2 linked regions of the Elephas maximus indicus genome follow. Each later gene encodes a partner of the first gene's protein in a complex. Links are inferred from orthologs where the notes say so. Each region holds a gene or a part of one and is shown on either strand. Other genes may lie near its edges.

What was found. The genes of interacting proteins can lie anywhere in the genome.
Region 2: NUP98 (region 1) and NUP153 share a complex: the UniProt entries of both Homo sapiens proteins name them as parts of the nuclear pore complex. The link is inferred for Elephas maximus indicus from reciprocal best matches to the Homo sapiens genes NUP98 and NUP153.

Annotation. Positions count from the first base shown.
Region 1 is NC_064825.1:53,106,346-53,113,937, forward strand, and holds the start of NUP98 (nuclear pore complex protein Nup98-Nup96), read right to left. Parts: upstream 3,084-7,592; 5' UTR 2,897-3,083; intron 1-2,896. Other genes in the region: PGAP2 (post-GPI attachment to proteins factor 2), read left to right, coding at 3,491-3,498. UniProt on the Homo sapiens protein: Plays a role in the nuclear pore complex (NPC) assembly and/or maintenance. NUP98 and NUP96 are involved in the bidirectional transport across the NPC. May anchor NUP153 and TPR to the NPC.
Region 2 is NC_064819.1:63,114,016-63,121,943, forward strand, and holds the start of NUP153 (nuclear pore complex protein Nup153), read right to left. Parts: upstream 3,069-7,928; 5' UTR 2,538-3,068; coding exon 2,421-2,537; intron 1-2,420. UniProt on the Homo sapiens protein: Component of the nuclear pore complex (NPC), a complex required for the trafficking across the nuclear envelope. Functions as a scaffolding element in the nuclear phase of the NPC essential for normal nucleocytoplasmic transport of proteins and mRNAs.

The DNA.
Region 1 (7,592 bases):
CAGAACGAAACACAGCCTGGTCATGTACCATTCTCACAATTGTTATGTTTGAGTCCACTGTGCCAATCCATCTCATGGAGGATCTTCCTCTTTTTCACTGACCTTCAACTTTACCAGAAACCCTGGTGGAGTAGTGGTTAAGAGCTACAGCTCCTAACCAAAAGGTCGGCAGTTAGAATCTATCAGGCACTCCTTAGAAACTCTATGAGACAGTTCTACCCTGTCTTATAGGGTTGCTATGAGTCAGAATTGACTCAACAGCAGCAGGGTTTTTTTTGTTTGTTTGTTTCTACTTTACCAAGAGTGATGTCCTTCTCCAGGAACTGGTCCCTCCTGATAACATGTCCAAAGTACAAGAGACAAAGTCTCATCATCCTTGCTTCTAAGGATCATTCTGGCTGTACTTGTCAGAATGGCTGAGTAGTGTAAGGCACCAGACTCAAGGTGCACACCTTGCCTGCAGGCATTCCGGTCTCTGAATGGAGGCATGGGCTCTAATCCCACTTCTAACACAATCCGTGCCTCTAATACCTATTTTTAAATCTCTAAATTTCTAAATCCCCTAATCTTTCAACAAACTGCATAATTACAGATATGCTCTTTATTGGAAATAAACATCAGAGCTACTATCCCTTACTTCTAGGTTAACTGTCAGCAAATAAATAATATAACTGATAATATAATACAATAAAATAATACGACCGATTTTTTCTAATCTGCCAGCAAGTTTGGTTCCCTAGAAATTCTACTTGCTCTTAGCTATCCAGGAAACCCTGGTGGTGTAGTGGTTAAGTGCTATGGCTGCTAACCAAAGGGTTGGCAGTTCAAATCCACCAGGTGCTCCTTGGAAACTGTGGGGCAGTTCTACTCTGTCCTATAGGGTCGCTATGAGTTGGAATCGACTCGATGGCACTGGACTAGGTTTTTTTTCTTTTTTTTAAATCTAGGAGCTAACGGACATGAATAAATTCAGGTACCAAAATAAAAATTACACATTATATAAGCTATATCAATTCTCTTATCTGGGCCTCACATTTCAGAAGCATGTAAATACTCAGACTCTCTTATGATTATTTTTAGGTAACTCCTCTGTATTTGTTTATTCATTCAAGCAAACACATGCTTGGCTACTACATGCCAAGCAACCTGAATACAAAGATAACAACATTTTACCACTGTATAATAAAAAAAATTAAACAGCTAAAATGCAAAACTGTATGTGCTATAAACAGAAGTATCAAATAAGTGTTATGGAAGCTTGAGGGGGATAGAATGCCAGGAAAGTCTTCCCAGAAGAAAGCAATGCTTGAACTGAGAAAATGTCACAGAAAACACACACTGTCCACATCTTAGTATTTAGACTACAGCTCTTGTCTGCTCTCATACACTACGAAATTTTTCAGTTTTTGCTTTGTCATATAAACAAGAAGTAACAATCTGACTGACTAGAATAGACCAAAGGGGCAAAACTAGTAATTCCATTTCTAAATCTTAAATAAACAGTAAAAAATAATAATTTTATCAAAGTATTTATGTCCATTACCTCCATCCTGTCCAATGTCTGGCTTTGATATCCTAACTTCTCTCTCCAAGTAAACATACCATCTGTCACCCAGTTAACAAATATTTCTTTCTGAATTTATGAAACTGCCAAGAGAATAATCCTTGTTCTTTTCTTGCAGTTAGCTGCTTCTTCCAAATCGGAGTTTAATTCCCTCATTTTATTCTATCAGAATACTTTATTTTGAACTTTGCACCAAACAGGAACCATGGAGTTCCAAGGTACAAGAATTACAAAGTGACCGCTGCCTAGCTTTATACGTCTTGTCTATACTTCCCAATGCTGTTGTGGGTCACTAACTGGACTCCTCAGAATCCACAGTCGCTAACACGGGTCAAAAATTCAGATCTAAAACGGGAAACTAGCCAACGACTTGTAGTTTTATCAATTCGTTTCCAATACATAACACCACAAACGTTCTTTAATCAACTTTTAAGGTTAGTTCCCTTGGTCTAGGTAAGGGTACCACTAATGAAGCTTCTCTCTTATTTTGAAGAGATAGCAACACTCAAATTCAAAACGCTCTTTAAGACTACATCTACTCCTAACTATCGAATATCTCCCCTCCCCATCCCCGGAATCCTCAATAATCAAAGACTGACCTCCCAGGAGGGTGTAGTAAAAAATTTCTAGACTGAGTCTGGACGTCTGGCTAATCCCGTCCTTTCTCTAGGCCTCGGTTTCTCCATCTGTACAGCTTGCATGTGATGCAGGGGAGTGACTAGCTCAAATAATTTCTATATAACTATCCAGGAACCCAATGTTGTTTCTCATCTGGCTTTACACGGAACACGTGGGAGAACAGAAAATAACCCTGTACTCCACTGAACCGATCCTAATTCTCAGATATTATCTTAGAAAGCTAGCAAACTCCCAACACACCCACCTACCACCTTTGTCTCGTGCAAAAGACATGGCAAATGAAACCCATTTCTGCACCAACGTCAAGAAAGTCTGGGAAGATCATACTCAGGGTCTTAAGGCGAGGCCGGCCCAGCGCCGGCGCCTATCACCGCCAAGCGTATGAATGAGTAAAAAAAACCAGTACAACCAGCTAAATGGATGCTCTATCCCCATGGGCTGCAACTGGAGACCACCCCCTCCCCACCCCCACCCCCGGTCCAGACCCCACCACATCGATTCCCTCCCAGGGCCCAAAAAGCTAAGCCTGGGGGCCGCAGGATCGTGGGCCCCGCCCCCTCCCTCAGGGTAGAAGGTGCGCGACGGGCGCGAGACTTCGGCGCTGACAGGGCCTGGGACGCCCCGCGCAGCCGCCCGCCCTGAGGGGAGGAGCCTGCCGGCCCCCGGCCGCCGCTGCTCCGGCTCCCGACTTACCGCGATGCGGTGGGCGAGGGGAAGTGTCAGGAGTGAGAGCCCAGGCCCGTTCGCCACCCGCCGCTCTCTGAGCAGCGCGCGGCCGCCACGAAACCGTCGCCGCCACTACCACCGCTACCGACCGCCGCTCCGGGCGCAAAGCGCAGAGGGCCCGACTGCGTCACACGCCGCCTGCCGTCAGAGGCTCGCTCTGAGCGCTCCGCCCTCGCTGTCTGAACATTGGCAGACGAGGCCGCCACTCTAGGCCCGCCCTGTTATTCATTGGGCAACTAGTCTTTTGAAACAGAACGTGAGGGCGGTCTTCGGGAGAAGGGACAAGTGGGAAGAGGAGGGGCATAAAGAGTTAGAGAGAGGAAAGGGGAGGAGCGGTGGAAGGGATCATGGAGTCCCGCCCCCACACTGCCGCGGTTGGCTGGGAGAGAGTCGTGGCGTCACATAGGGCCCCTAGAAGTGGGCTGGTGACTGGCTAGATTGGGGTGGACCGGGCGGGGTGTGGGAGAGGAGTGGTGACGCCATACCGACGCTCCTCCCCTTCTTTGGGGCCCAAAGACTCCGGCTGCGGAAGCTCGGGCCAATCAGAAGGAAGGCTCCAGGATGGCTTGGTAACTATTCTACCCTTCCGTCGCCCCCCCGCCCCCCAGGTCCGCGGGCGGTGATGGGAAGGCTGCCCTGTCGCCTTGCTCACACTTCTTGGCCATACCACGTGCGGAGCTAGGTCTTTCCCGGGAGGTCCGTCTGTCGGAAGAACTTGCCTGCGACGGCTCTGAAACCCCAAATCGCGGCCCCCACATCTCTTGACCCATGCCAGCAGTAGTACACCCTCTCTGAACCTCAGTAACCTCTCGTAAAAGAGAAGGGGGAATTATATACGCTGGAATAGACTTTATGAACATTTGAGATGCCCTAAGGAAATAGCCCAGCATAGAGCTTGGTACAAGTGAGGATTCCAGGGACTTCGTTCCTGATAACAGCTACAGTTAAAAAAAAAGCCAAACCCATTGCCATCGAGTCGATTCTGACTCATAGCAACCCTATAGGACAGAGTAGAACTTCCCCCTTAAGATTTCCAAGACACAGACTGCCACATCTTTCTCCTGCAGAGCGGCTCCCTCGTGGTTGGAACCGCGGACCTTTCGGTTAAGGCATAACCACTGTACCGCCAGGCGTCTTCTCAGACAACCCTAACTTATTCTTAAGAGCCGCGTTCAAATGTTCCCGCCTTCGCTGGGATACATTTGCCAACCTCACCAAGCAGAGTTGGACTAATGTTCCTAACAGGCCTCAGTCACTGTATCCTATTATTTACTTGCCTGTCCTCTGTGCCCAGAACAGAAAAAAACTTGATGACAAGGAGGAGAGGTGAGCAATGTTCTAGAAACTGGATTGATCTAGTGGCTGAGGATCTCATACAGAAAAGCAGGGGCTGTGCTCATGCTCAGAAAACGTCTTCGGACTACCCTCCACCACCACCTCCATCAATGCAAAACTGAAATGGGCTCTGCCCAAAGCATAGGTGAACTTAAATCCTGAGTTTTTAATAGTAGAAAGGGATATTTGATTAATTTGTCAGAAAGTGTCGTGGTTGTATAGATGAAATAAGATGATGGATGTGCTTAAAGGAAGATAAAAAATATACATTGATTGCCAAATAGTAAAGCTGGTTTAAGCAGCTAACTCGAGCCACCTTCCTTGAACTCCATCCAAACATCCCTCCTTTTGTCTCCATCCCCCCCGCACCAGGCCCCCCACCTGTTCCTACTCTCTCGGCTCTCCACCCCCCACCAACACCTTTGCTGTACATCAGAAAGTCATAAACTCTCCAGGAATAGTTACTGTAGCTTCCTCACTGCCCCCCTGAACCTTTGATTTCTCCTCCTTCATTCCTCAAGCACAACTCTGTTCAAGACTTTTCTCTACTAATTTAATTTGGAATTCCTAGGATTAGGCAAGGAAACCCTGGCGGCGTAGTAGTTGAGAGCTATGGCTGCTAACCGAAAGGTCAGCAGTTTAAATCCACCAGGCAATCCTTGGAAACCCTATGGGGCAGTTCTACTCTGTCCTATAGGGTCGTTATGCGGTATCAACTCGATAGCAACGGGTTTGGTTTTGGTAGGATCAGGCACAGAGTAGATACACATTAGATGTTTGATGCATGAATGAGTGAATTATTTTCTACAGTGAGGAAATCATAGTAAAAATGTTGGGCTTTAGAGTCAGAGAACCCTGGGCTTAAATCTGGGTTTAACTGTGTGAACTTAGACACATTTCCTAACCTCTCTAAACTTCAGTTTCCTTGTCTGTAAGACGGGGATAACAACTGTATTTGCCTCACAAGGTTGTTGTGAGAATTAAATGAGATATTACATATAAAGCATTTAGCATGGTGCCTGGTACCTAATAAGCCCTGAATAAGTGTTAGGTATTGTTTGTATTCCTTAATGTCAAGGAGCTTCCATTCTTAACTCTACATACTCTTAAGACATGGGGTCTGATGCAGAGAAGAGGCTCAGAAATACACATCAGGTATGCAGGAGCTGGGATCCTTAAATAGCACACACTTGTGGGGAGAGTGGAGGTGGACATATTGGACAAGGAGTGCTTCAAGGAGGAATTTCCTGAGACCATGGTGATTTCTAAGTAGTATTGTTTGATACTGTGATAGACATATAGCCCATTCCCAGGGACCTTAGGCTGGGAGAGGATTTTTTTGTGGATCCAGGGCTTCCTGGGCCCACATATTCCTACTCTGCCTAACTCTCATAGCATCCTTTTCAATTTTCATCTTCCTTCTTCCACTCTAAAGATAAGCATTTTGATACATGTTTTCAAAAGCTTGCTGAGCCAAGCCCTGTTCTGAGCATCAGGAGCCCAGAGATATCCACAGATCAACACCCTACACTGATTAAGAAGGACAACTGAGGAAAGTCTAAGCGCAACAAACTTGGAGTAAAACAGAGCTAGGTTCAAGTTCTAGATCTGCTACTTTTTAGAGTGTGCACAAATTATTTAATTGTTCTGTGCCCTAATTTCTTTGTTAAATGGATACAATAATTGCTACTTGAAGGTCAAAAAAGATAAAGGAATTTGCCAGAGACTGGGCACATGTTTGATTCATACTGATTCTCTTCCTCCTCACCTGTACCTTGATAAGGAAGGTTAAGTTTTGTAAATAATGTTGAATGAATAATTTCTTTTACGAGGATCAGCACAAAGCTGGTTCCTGTGAGGTGGAGGTTAAAGATGCCACACATGTCCAACTTTTTTCCAAACTACTGTCCTACTCCGTCATCTTTAACATGAACTGCTCCTTTTCCTCTTAGTACTGTTCCTTCCATCCTTGGGTTCAGTAATTCGCTGCAACATCTCACAGAACTCAGGAACCATATCTTAAGGAAATAGCTCACATGGTTATAGAGGCTGGCAAGTCCCAAATCCATGGGTCAGGCATCAGGCTGGAGGCTTCTCCAGACCCACGTGGCTGCAGGGGCTGACAAACCCAAACTGGCAGGTCAAACAACAGGGTGCTGGCTCACAAATCTGTGGAAGTTGGCAAATCAGGTCAGACAATAGGCTGCTGGCTGAAGGGGCTGTGAAAGCTGGCAAATCCCAAAATCGGCAGGTCAGAGATCAGGCTGCTGGCTCAAGCTCCAAGAATCAGACTTTAGATGATCATGACCGAAATGCAGGATCTAGAGTGAGAGAACTTCCCCAGAGCATTCATATATATTTGATGCAGACCACACCTTCAAGGAAACTCCCCTACTTGAGAAGGCAGTGACTTGAGTCATGCCCTTTAGTAAGGGTAGTAACTGGAGTAAGGGTGGTGTCTTGAGTCACACCCTCTAGTAAGGTGGTTAAACCCAAAAAACCAAACCCACTGCCATTGAGTTGATTCCAACTCCTAGTGACCCTAGAGGACAGAGTAGAACTGCCCCCATAGAGTTTCCAAGAAGTGCCTGGCGGACTCTCAAGCTATATCCCTAACCCTGCCTCATTAACACAACCACAGGCATACAGGCTAGGATTCACAACGCATCGTAAAAGGGAGGATAATTACATCAGATCACAGAATGGAGGACAACCATATAATACTGAGAATTATGACCTAGTCAAATTGACACACAACCCCAACCAGCACAGGTTCTATACACCTTAATTGCGTAGTTGCACTCAATCATTGTGTGTGAATCACAGAAACTATGGCTAGAAGGGCCATATTGAGCAATTCATTGTACTGCAGGCCACCTCCTAACTCTTCTAGTCATTGGCCCTTTCATACTTGAAGGATTATGTTTCCCCTCCCAATCATTTTACAAGTCCAAAACAGGTATTAGCAATTAGTCTTTCGGTAGGGCAAACAGTCCTCAGCATGAGGTTTCTCAGGTACCAGCCATTCAGGTTTGCTGCAGGTGTCCATATGATCTGGTCAGGTTCTCCAAAAGTCATCTCTACCTTCACCCTTTCTGGCTTCTGATAAAATTTATCTGAGAGATTATTCCCTTGCTCTCAGTCTCTCTTGAGGTATCAGCATAATGTTATATTTCCCCTACTGCATAACTCATTTATTCGTTACATTACCTTCAGCTATTACTTCTCTTTCCCTTCATTTGACCTTTATCTTTACTCAGACTTTTTCACCTTGGAAAGGGGCATCAGGCCCAGCTGCTATGCCAGTCCAGATTGCTGGTAGCAAGAC
Region 2 (7,928 bases), on another chromosome or scaffold:
AAGATGACATTTTAAAGATGAGAAGGTGAAAAGAAAAAAATGCTAGCCTTTAAGTATTTCCCAGCAGAGCTAAACCAGAAGTCAAAACAGGAAATTACAAGTCAATTTAACACATGCAAGAGTCTCAGGTACTGTCTGACTACACTAGCTAATTGGCCTGACAAGCAATGGCAAACAGCCATTAACTAACAGTGCCAGGCCTCTCATTCTGGTTCCAACACTCTACTACATAATGAAAAACTTCATTCCTGCTCAGAAACCCTGGGTCACTTAAATAACATTAGTACAAAACATGCCATGTCATGAAGCGCCTCGATATTCATGATGACTCAGCAACTGCTGCAAAACATCCAATTTGACAGCTTAGGGTAGAATACAGCAAGCAGGTAGTTCACAAAAGTTTCAGTAAAGACTAAGGAAAAGCCCTTAATATAAGATTAAAAAACAGATAAACCAGAAAGCACTCTTCTGTATATACCTGAATACTTTTCTTTGGTAGTTCCTGCCAGTATTAAATAAAACATGTAGTGTTGATCAAGAAATCTCAAAACATCTTTAATCCCAATTCAAAAGCTAAAAATACATATATATTTTTTAAATAAATCAAGCAGCTGGGGCAAGAAGCTTAAAGTATTTTAGATAGGGAGCAATGATAATTTACGAAAATTTAAAACTTAAAAACTATACAGCCTGAAATCGTATCAATTCTAGGGCAGTTTAGATCACAGGCATTCTGTTAAGACATTATTTCCTCAAAATTAGATTCTTATCTAAGTAAATTTAAAAATAAACTGTGATTACAACTTTCGCTGCCTGGAATATATTAACTCCCTTCTAAACTCTGTCCAAACTTTTTATTCATCTGTATTGAAAACGTTTTTCTATGTGTAGTAATTTTCTTTTAAGCAAATCGTAGAAAGCACTGAGATATTCTATAGGAGAAACAGAAAGCATGTATGTCTTTCATTCTACAAAAGAGGCTTAAGTTAAATGGTCAAGGCTTGTGACCTGAATTCTAGCATTAAATCTGCCTACAAGTACCTGTTCCTCACAAAGCCATGTGAAAACGAGGCACTTTCTGTACATATCCGTGGAAAAACTAGCAGGAGATAATAGTAATGCCAAGCCTTCTGACTATTAGAGACCTACTTGGTATAATACATAATCCACAATTTTTACTTTCAAAAGTTCTCCTCAAATCTGTACTTAATGATACAATTTAACACCACCAACAAACATGTTAAAGTGTTCATTATTATCATGCAAAATAAAGCAATCTAGGAAGTCTACCTGACTGTATGCAACAAGTTATTACACCCTTTTGCTATACTTTTGTTTCTAACAAGTTTAAGACACACACTTCCCACCTTAGTGTCAATCAGTTTTATAAGTGGCTTTATTAAAATAGGTATTTGGTATTTTCTGCTCTACCATCCGCCAACACACAAATAACATTTAAAAATGGAATTTTCTCAGAAACGAATGTCTCATTTATACTTAGGCTAAACTCCTTATAATTTTTAACACCCAGGAGTGTACACGGTGATTAAATTATAAGACCACAAACATTCCTAGAGCGTCAAAAGTCCTTAAACTTTTAGAACACGCCCCATAATATTAAAATATTTTGTGTATGAGATCAGAAATGGAATCCTGGTCAACTGTGGAGAATGGCCAATTCTAGTTTCCAAAGTAAAAGGAGGAAGAAAAAAAAAAGAGACAGGTGGGGAGGGAAGAGCCGCGCAGCGCAGAAAATACGTAAGGGTGGAGAGGGACTTTCAAAATGCCCCAGTGCCACGGTTAACTATATCCCGGTTAAGAAAAAAAAGTTGAGCGAATGCTCTCAGATTGAGGACGGACAAGGGCGGCGGAGACGGAGAATTAATCAATCGGCTGAGAGTATATTATTCCATTTTCCGTGTAACAGCGCCCCCCAGTCTCCCGTGAGTCCAAGAAGCCGATTCCTCGGAGCAGCCCCCTCCCCACACACTGAACCGCGGGAGACTAGAAAACGCACAGCCCGCGTAATGGGCTCCGGCCGCATCTTTTCCTTTCTCCCTCGAGAGGCTGTGAGTAATACCTCCAAATCCCCAATCCCCGCCAAAAAAAAGAAAGAAACGCGCGCACCGTGGGCCTAGAATTTCTTTTCCCGCCCTGAGCCTGCCGGGGAAGCCCCTGACCCAGAGACTATGCGAGAGGCGGCCCAAGCCACACATGTGCGCCGCACGGCTGGGCCTGTCTCAGCCCACTTCCCGTCGCCACCCCAGCGGCCTGAGCTCCCGCCGCCTCAATCGGGCCTTCCTCCGGCCCTCCCATCCGATCCACGTGCGGCGGGTGTGGGGAGCCAGAGCCCCGCACTGCCTGACCCCTCTCGCCCAGCCCCCGACCCGTTAGGCCACCGCGGCGTCGGGGTTCCGTACCTGGTGCTGTTGTCGCCCCTGCGCGTAAGGCTTAATTGGCCCCTGGTGACAACGCCGCGTCCGGATCTTGCCACCGCCGCCGCCGCCCCCTCCTATTCCTCCGGCTCCCGAGGCCATGGTGGAGCCTCCGCTGCTTCCCGCTCCGCGGCGGGTAAGGGGGGCGGGAGAGGCAGAGGCGACGGCCTTAGAGCCCCCCCCGCCCGGTCCCGGCCCAAAAGTCCGCCCGCGCTACCCACACGGTGGGACACAGGCACACCAGGGACCTCGAGGTTGCGAGCAGGAGGGGAGAGAGGGTGCGCGCTGGCAGAGGGGGAGGGGGTGGCGGCGGCGGAGGCCGAGGAGCTGGCTCCGGTCCGGCAGCCTTCCGCGGTCCCCCGCCTCTGTGTATGTCACGGTCTCTATGGAGATCTTCCGCAGAGGACAGTGCGAGCGGCTCCGGGCGCTGCTGAGGCCTAACTCGACCGCCGGCTGGTAGGGGATCTTCTTCCGTCGCTCTAGCCGTCGCTGCCGCAGCTGAAGCCGCCGGCGCCGCCCGCCTACCCCTCCCCTCTGCGCACAGCGCCCGCCCTGCCGTCGTCGTCCCTGCAGTCGCCGCCGCTGTTGCGCCTATTGCCGCTGCTAAGGCCGCCGCGGTCGCGAGCCAGGACACCGTCACTCGTTAGCGCCCGACGCCTATGCATCATCTCGCTGCGACCTGCGAGGGGAGGAGGAAGGAAGAGCTCTACGAGCCCGCGCTCTCGGCCGCGCGGTGCGCTGGGTAACGTAGTTCAGGAGGAGCACGTGAGTTCTGGCAAAGGAAGGCGCGGGGTGGTGGATCCGCCGAGCGCCGCAGAGGCACTGAGCGGGCGGTTACGTTCGTTTTCCTGCCCTTAGCTTTAGGCTTAGGCTCTGAAGAACCATTTAACATAAAAACAGTAAGCTCCCAACCACTCTACTTCTCCCTATCTAGCAGAAAGTAAGCAGAGGGTGAAATCAGCGACAGGAGCTAAGTGATATCTTTTAACAACAACAAAAACTCTGTGGTTGAAAAAGCAATGTCCAAAATCATTCGTAGGCCGAAAGCACAATTAGAAAATGTATACAGCTTCATTAAGGTCCTATTAGACATATACACAAGGGCTAGAATTCTGGCTCCCCCACTCAAAATCTCTGAACCTTGGCGTCCTCCTCCAGAAAATAACTTTTAAGTTCACCTTATAGAGCTGGTGCCTACAAGAAATGCAATAAATGGTGGCTATTATGATTACCTACGCAGCTCACAATAGAAGTAAAATGTATATTTTCAGTAATACAAGTGTGCATATGTATGTTCCAAATAAAAGGCATCGTGTTCAGGGAGGTAAGTGAGCATAGGCTCAAGATTGAATCCATACGTATGTAGAGATTCTAAGCGCTGACGGTTAGACAGGTCTTGATGATCACGTGGACCGCCCCTCTCAACGGACACCAAAGACTTCCTAGACAATTTGGGTGGTGCGTTCAAGGACACAGAGCTGGGCAGTCAAACCCAGAACTGTAACACAACTTTTGTATAAGAGTCAAGATGAGTAGTCAGATGATTAAAGAGAAAACTCTACTATTGTTCCATTTTGAGACAGTTGATTTTAAAGCTTTTAAGTAGCTTTGGAGTCAAATAGACTTAGTTTCAAATCTATCATTTACTAGCTGTATAGTCCAGAGGAAGCTATTGATCTTCTCTGTAAGCCTCAGTTTCTTTATCTGTAAATAGAATGAATTTTTATTTCAACAGGATGGTGGTTCTGGTGAAAGGGCTTATGTATTTATGTGCTGTATAATACCTAGTTTATAAAAACTACTGTGTAGAAAGCATTTAATATCAGTCAAGCTGTCAGGTACAAATCTTTAGCGCCAAGATTTTTATACAGTCTCCACCACCTAGCTGCTCAATTCAAAAGTCACTATATAAATCACATAAGTGAAATTGTGAAACCAAATTTATAGTACCTTTGAACTTGTAGTATGTTTCAGCACCTAAAAGAACTATGCTGTATAGGCATAGGCTTACAAAGCATATGGTTTTCAGAGGCATCTCTGACCAGAAGCACCAACACTCAAGAAGTTGCCAAATATGAAAAACAAAATTAATTTGTTTCCCTGCCCCAGCCTCGTGCCTTCACCATACCTAACTCCTCACTAGACTTTCTAGGTATACCTGCTCAGCACTTTACCCTTCTTAAGTACAATTGTTTCTCTTGGATGCTTTCCCCTCTTCAACTGAAGCCTGGTTCTTTTGTAAGCCTTAGCTAGGTATTTGACAAGCGGGGTGAAGTAATTCTGGATAAGCTAACTCACATGGAGAACCTCTACCTGAATTTCCTAACTGGGCTACATATATAGGAGATTGAACTGTAGCCACATCCCATTTTTCCTTTTCATCTACCAGACTCAAAATTTCCAGTACAAGACTATGGACTGGCTAGAGCTCAAAAATGATGTCTTTCTTGGAGGCGTGGGTCAGCCCTCACATTCAAGTTTTGAAAGCAAGGGCTGTGCAGAAGAATTGGGCCAAACTTCAGAATCAAAGATTGGTGGGATTTGAGAAGCTGTGGAAAAATACAAATTCCTTTCAGTTGTTTAACTCATTAACTCACAGAATTCATTTAACTCATTTCACATTTACTTTATTCCTTTGATGTAAAACAACATCCAAGGAAACAATAATACACTAGTTCCACATTTGTGTGACTGCATTTTTGGAAGCTTTACCAGGCAGTTTGAGAGCAGAGACAGAATAAAGGACAGGAGGGAAGCTGTGTTCAAAACTTCCCACTGCTCAGTTTTACCCTGACATAGTATCAGCCTCATTATGGGATGAGATGACTTCTTATTGCATGGTTTGGGATGTTAAAATAACATTATTTCTGTGCTGAGATATAGTGTAGAGTTCCAAATCACCATCTCACACATTTTTGGAACTCATTCTTCTGTTAGCAATTACGAGTAGTAGAATGAGTTATAATAAATTATTTTGATTGTAAAGCTTTAAGGAAAATTATAACAAAAGATCTGCCTGCATCCAAACAAACAAATAAATATTGAGCATTGCTCTAAAAGATACTATATATAAATCGGAAAAAAAGGTCAAATGGCATATAACAATAATAGGGGTTCTTGAAATCCTTCCAGCCATGTTGGAAATTAACAAGCGTTTGAGGAAGGAAATAAGTATTATTTAGTGCTTATAATTAAGCACTTTACATAGATAATAGGATTTAATTTCCTCAAAAACCTATGAGATATTACTATTTGTATTTCACAGAATCAGAAGCTACCATTTATAAATTTTGTGTTATGAACTAGCTGTCTCTTTCTTCATCCATTTCTTTCTATTAGTAACTTCTATTCCTGTCAGTCTTTAACCAGTAACCAAACCAACCCATTGCTGTTGAGGCGATTCCGACTCATAGCAACTCTATAGGACAGAGTTGAACTGCCCCATAGGGTTTCCAGGGAGTGGCTGGTGGATTTGAACTGCTGACCTTTTGATTAGCAGCTGTGCTCTTAACCACTACACCACCAGGGCTCCCAACCAGTAACCAACTGCCTTCAAATCAGTCACCACTCCTGGTGACCCCATACGCGTCAGAGTGCACTGGGCTTCATAGGGTTTTCAATGGCTAATTTTTCAGAAGTAGATCACCAGGGCTTTCTTCCCAGGTACCTCTGGGTGGACTCAAAGCCCCTACCTTTTGGTAAGCAGCCAAGTGAATTAACCATTTATACCACCAAGGGACTCCTTATCAGTCTTTAGGCCAAGTCAAAATTGGGATGGCTTTAGTAAGTGATCTTGTGTTTTGGGTTCTTTCATTGAGTAACTTTTAATAGAAACTTGCCCCCCCCACCCCACACACACACACACACACATACACACTAAATTTTAAGCTCCAAAAGGATAAGGAATTTTTTCCCAGTGTTATAACCTCAGCACATGGATCAGTGCTGACACATGGCGGTCTCTATAGATACTACAGTTCATTTTCCCAATATACCATTATTACCAATACAGCTAAACTCATTTATATAACCGGATCTAACCTGACCTGAATGTATTTGCTACATAAGAAATTAATTTTTTGCAATTCATGATAAAGCATGAATACCATGAATAAGTCCCTATGAAAGTGTTATATAAAGATTTTCATGTTATCCTAACAATCCTGAGAAGAATCATTATCCTCATTTTACAGAAAAGGAAACTGAGTCACTGAGGGGATAATAATAAATTGCAGCACTAATGAGTGGCAGAGTCAACGTTTAAAATGATTTCTCCACTCCTTACCCCAAAGCTCATCGCTTACCTTTACCATCATTCTACCACTTTTGTAGCTAGTTTAGGAACCCACCTACCATTTACAATATTTTTTATTTGAGAATATATTATTTCCAATTCAATTAAGAACAAAATGTTTTAGGAAGATCTCTCTCTGATGGCCTCCACACGGACTGGAATGTTTCGAGTCTGGTCCTACTGTATTGCAGAGCAAGAATAGACATTTGCTTAATGTGATGTGATAACCATGGAAAGACCAGACTCAGATAACTCAGTCAGGGTCACCTGAGAAGCAGGAAATCCCATCTTGGCACAAAGATAAGAGGATATTTTGTGGGATGGAAATGAAGAGTACACCACCAGGGCCATTTTGGTGTAAGAAATGTTGTAACCTATGAATGTCAGAGAGAAGCCATGTTAACAAAACCAATAAAATTCAACTATAGCATAGAGACAAAAAGAATTCTGTGAAGGATAAGGAGAAAACTAATAGCTATTCATTTTTAGACCAAGTGGCAGAAACTGACCAAAAAAGAAAAAAACACAAAAGGACAACAATCCCTACTTCAAATAACCAAAGATGAAAATCAAGAATAGATCAGCTGTATTTTTCTTACCTGGATTCAGTGTTGTCAGCCAAAACAAATGGCCTGTTGGGAGACATCTCAATTTATGAAAAGACTATTTACTACTAGGATACCCCTCCCCAAGAAACTTCTTTATTTTTCACCATATAAATGATAACTATCTGTGAATTATAACTTAGCAAATACAGAGGCTGCTGACCCTTCTCTAGTAGATAAGGAATAGTCACTAATTACAAATGGAATACAATTTAGTCCAAGCCTAACTTGGATTGAAAAATAGCCTTCACAAAGCAAAAGCAAAGAAGTTTCCTGGACACATCCCAATACTTTGAGGGACAGAGTAGCTGGGGCTGGGGCCTGGGGACCATAGTTTCAGGGAACATCTAGGTCAATTGGCGTAACATAGTTTATTAAGAAAATATTCTACATCTGGCTTTTGTGAGTGGTGTCTGGGGTCTTAAAAGCTTGTGAGCGGTCATCTAAGATACATGGATTGGTACCATCCCACCTGGAGCAAAAGAATGCAGAAAATCAAAGACACAAGGAAAATATTAGCCGAAAGGACTAAAGAAAGGACCACATGAGCCAGAGACCTCACTAGCCTGAGACTAGAAGAACTAGATTGTGCCT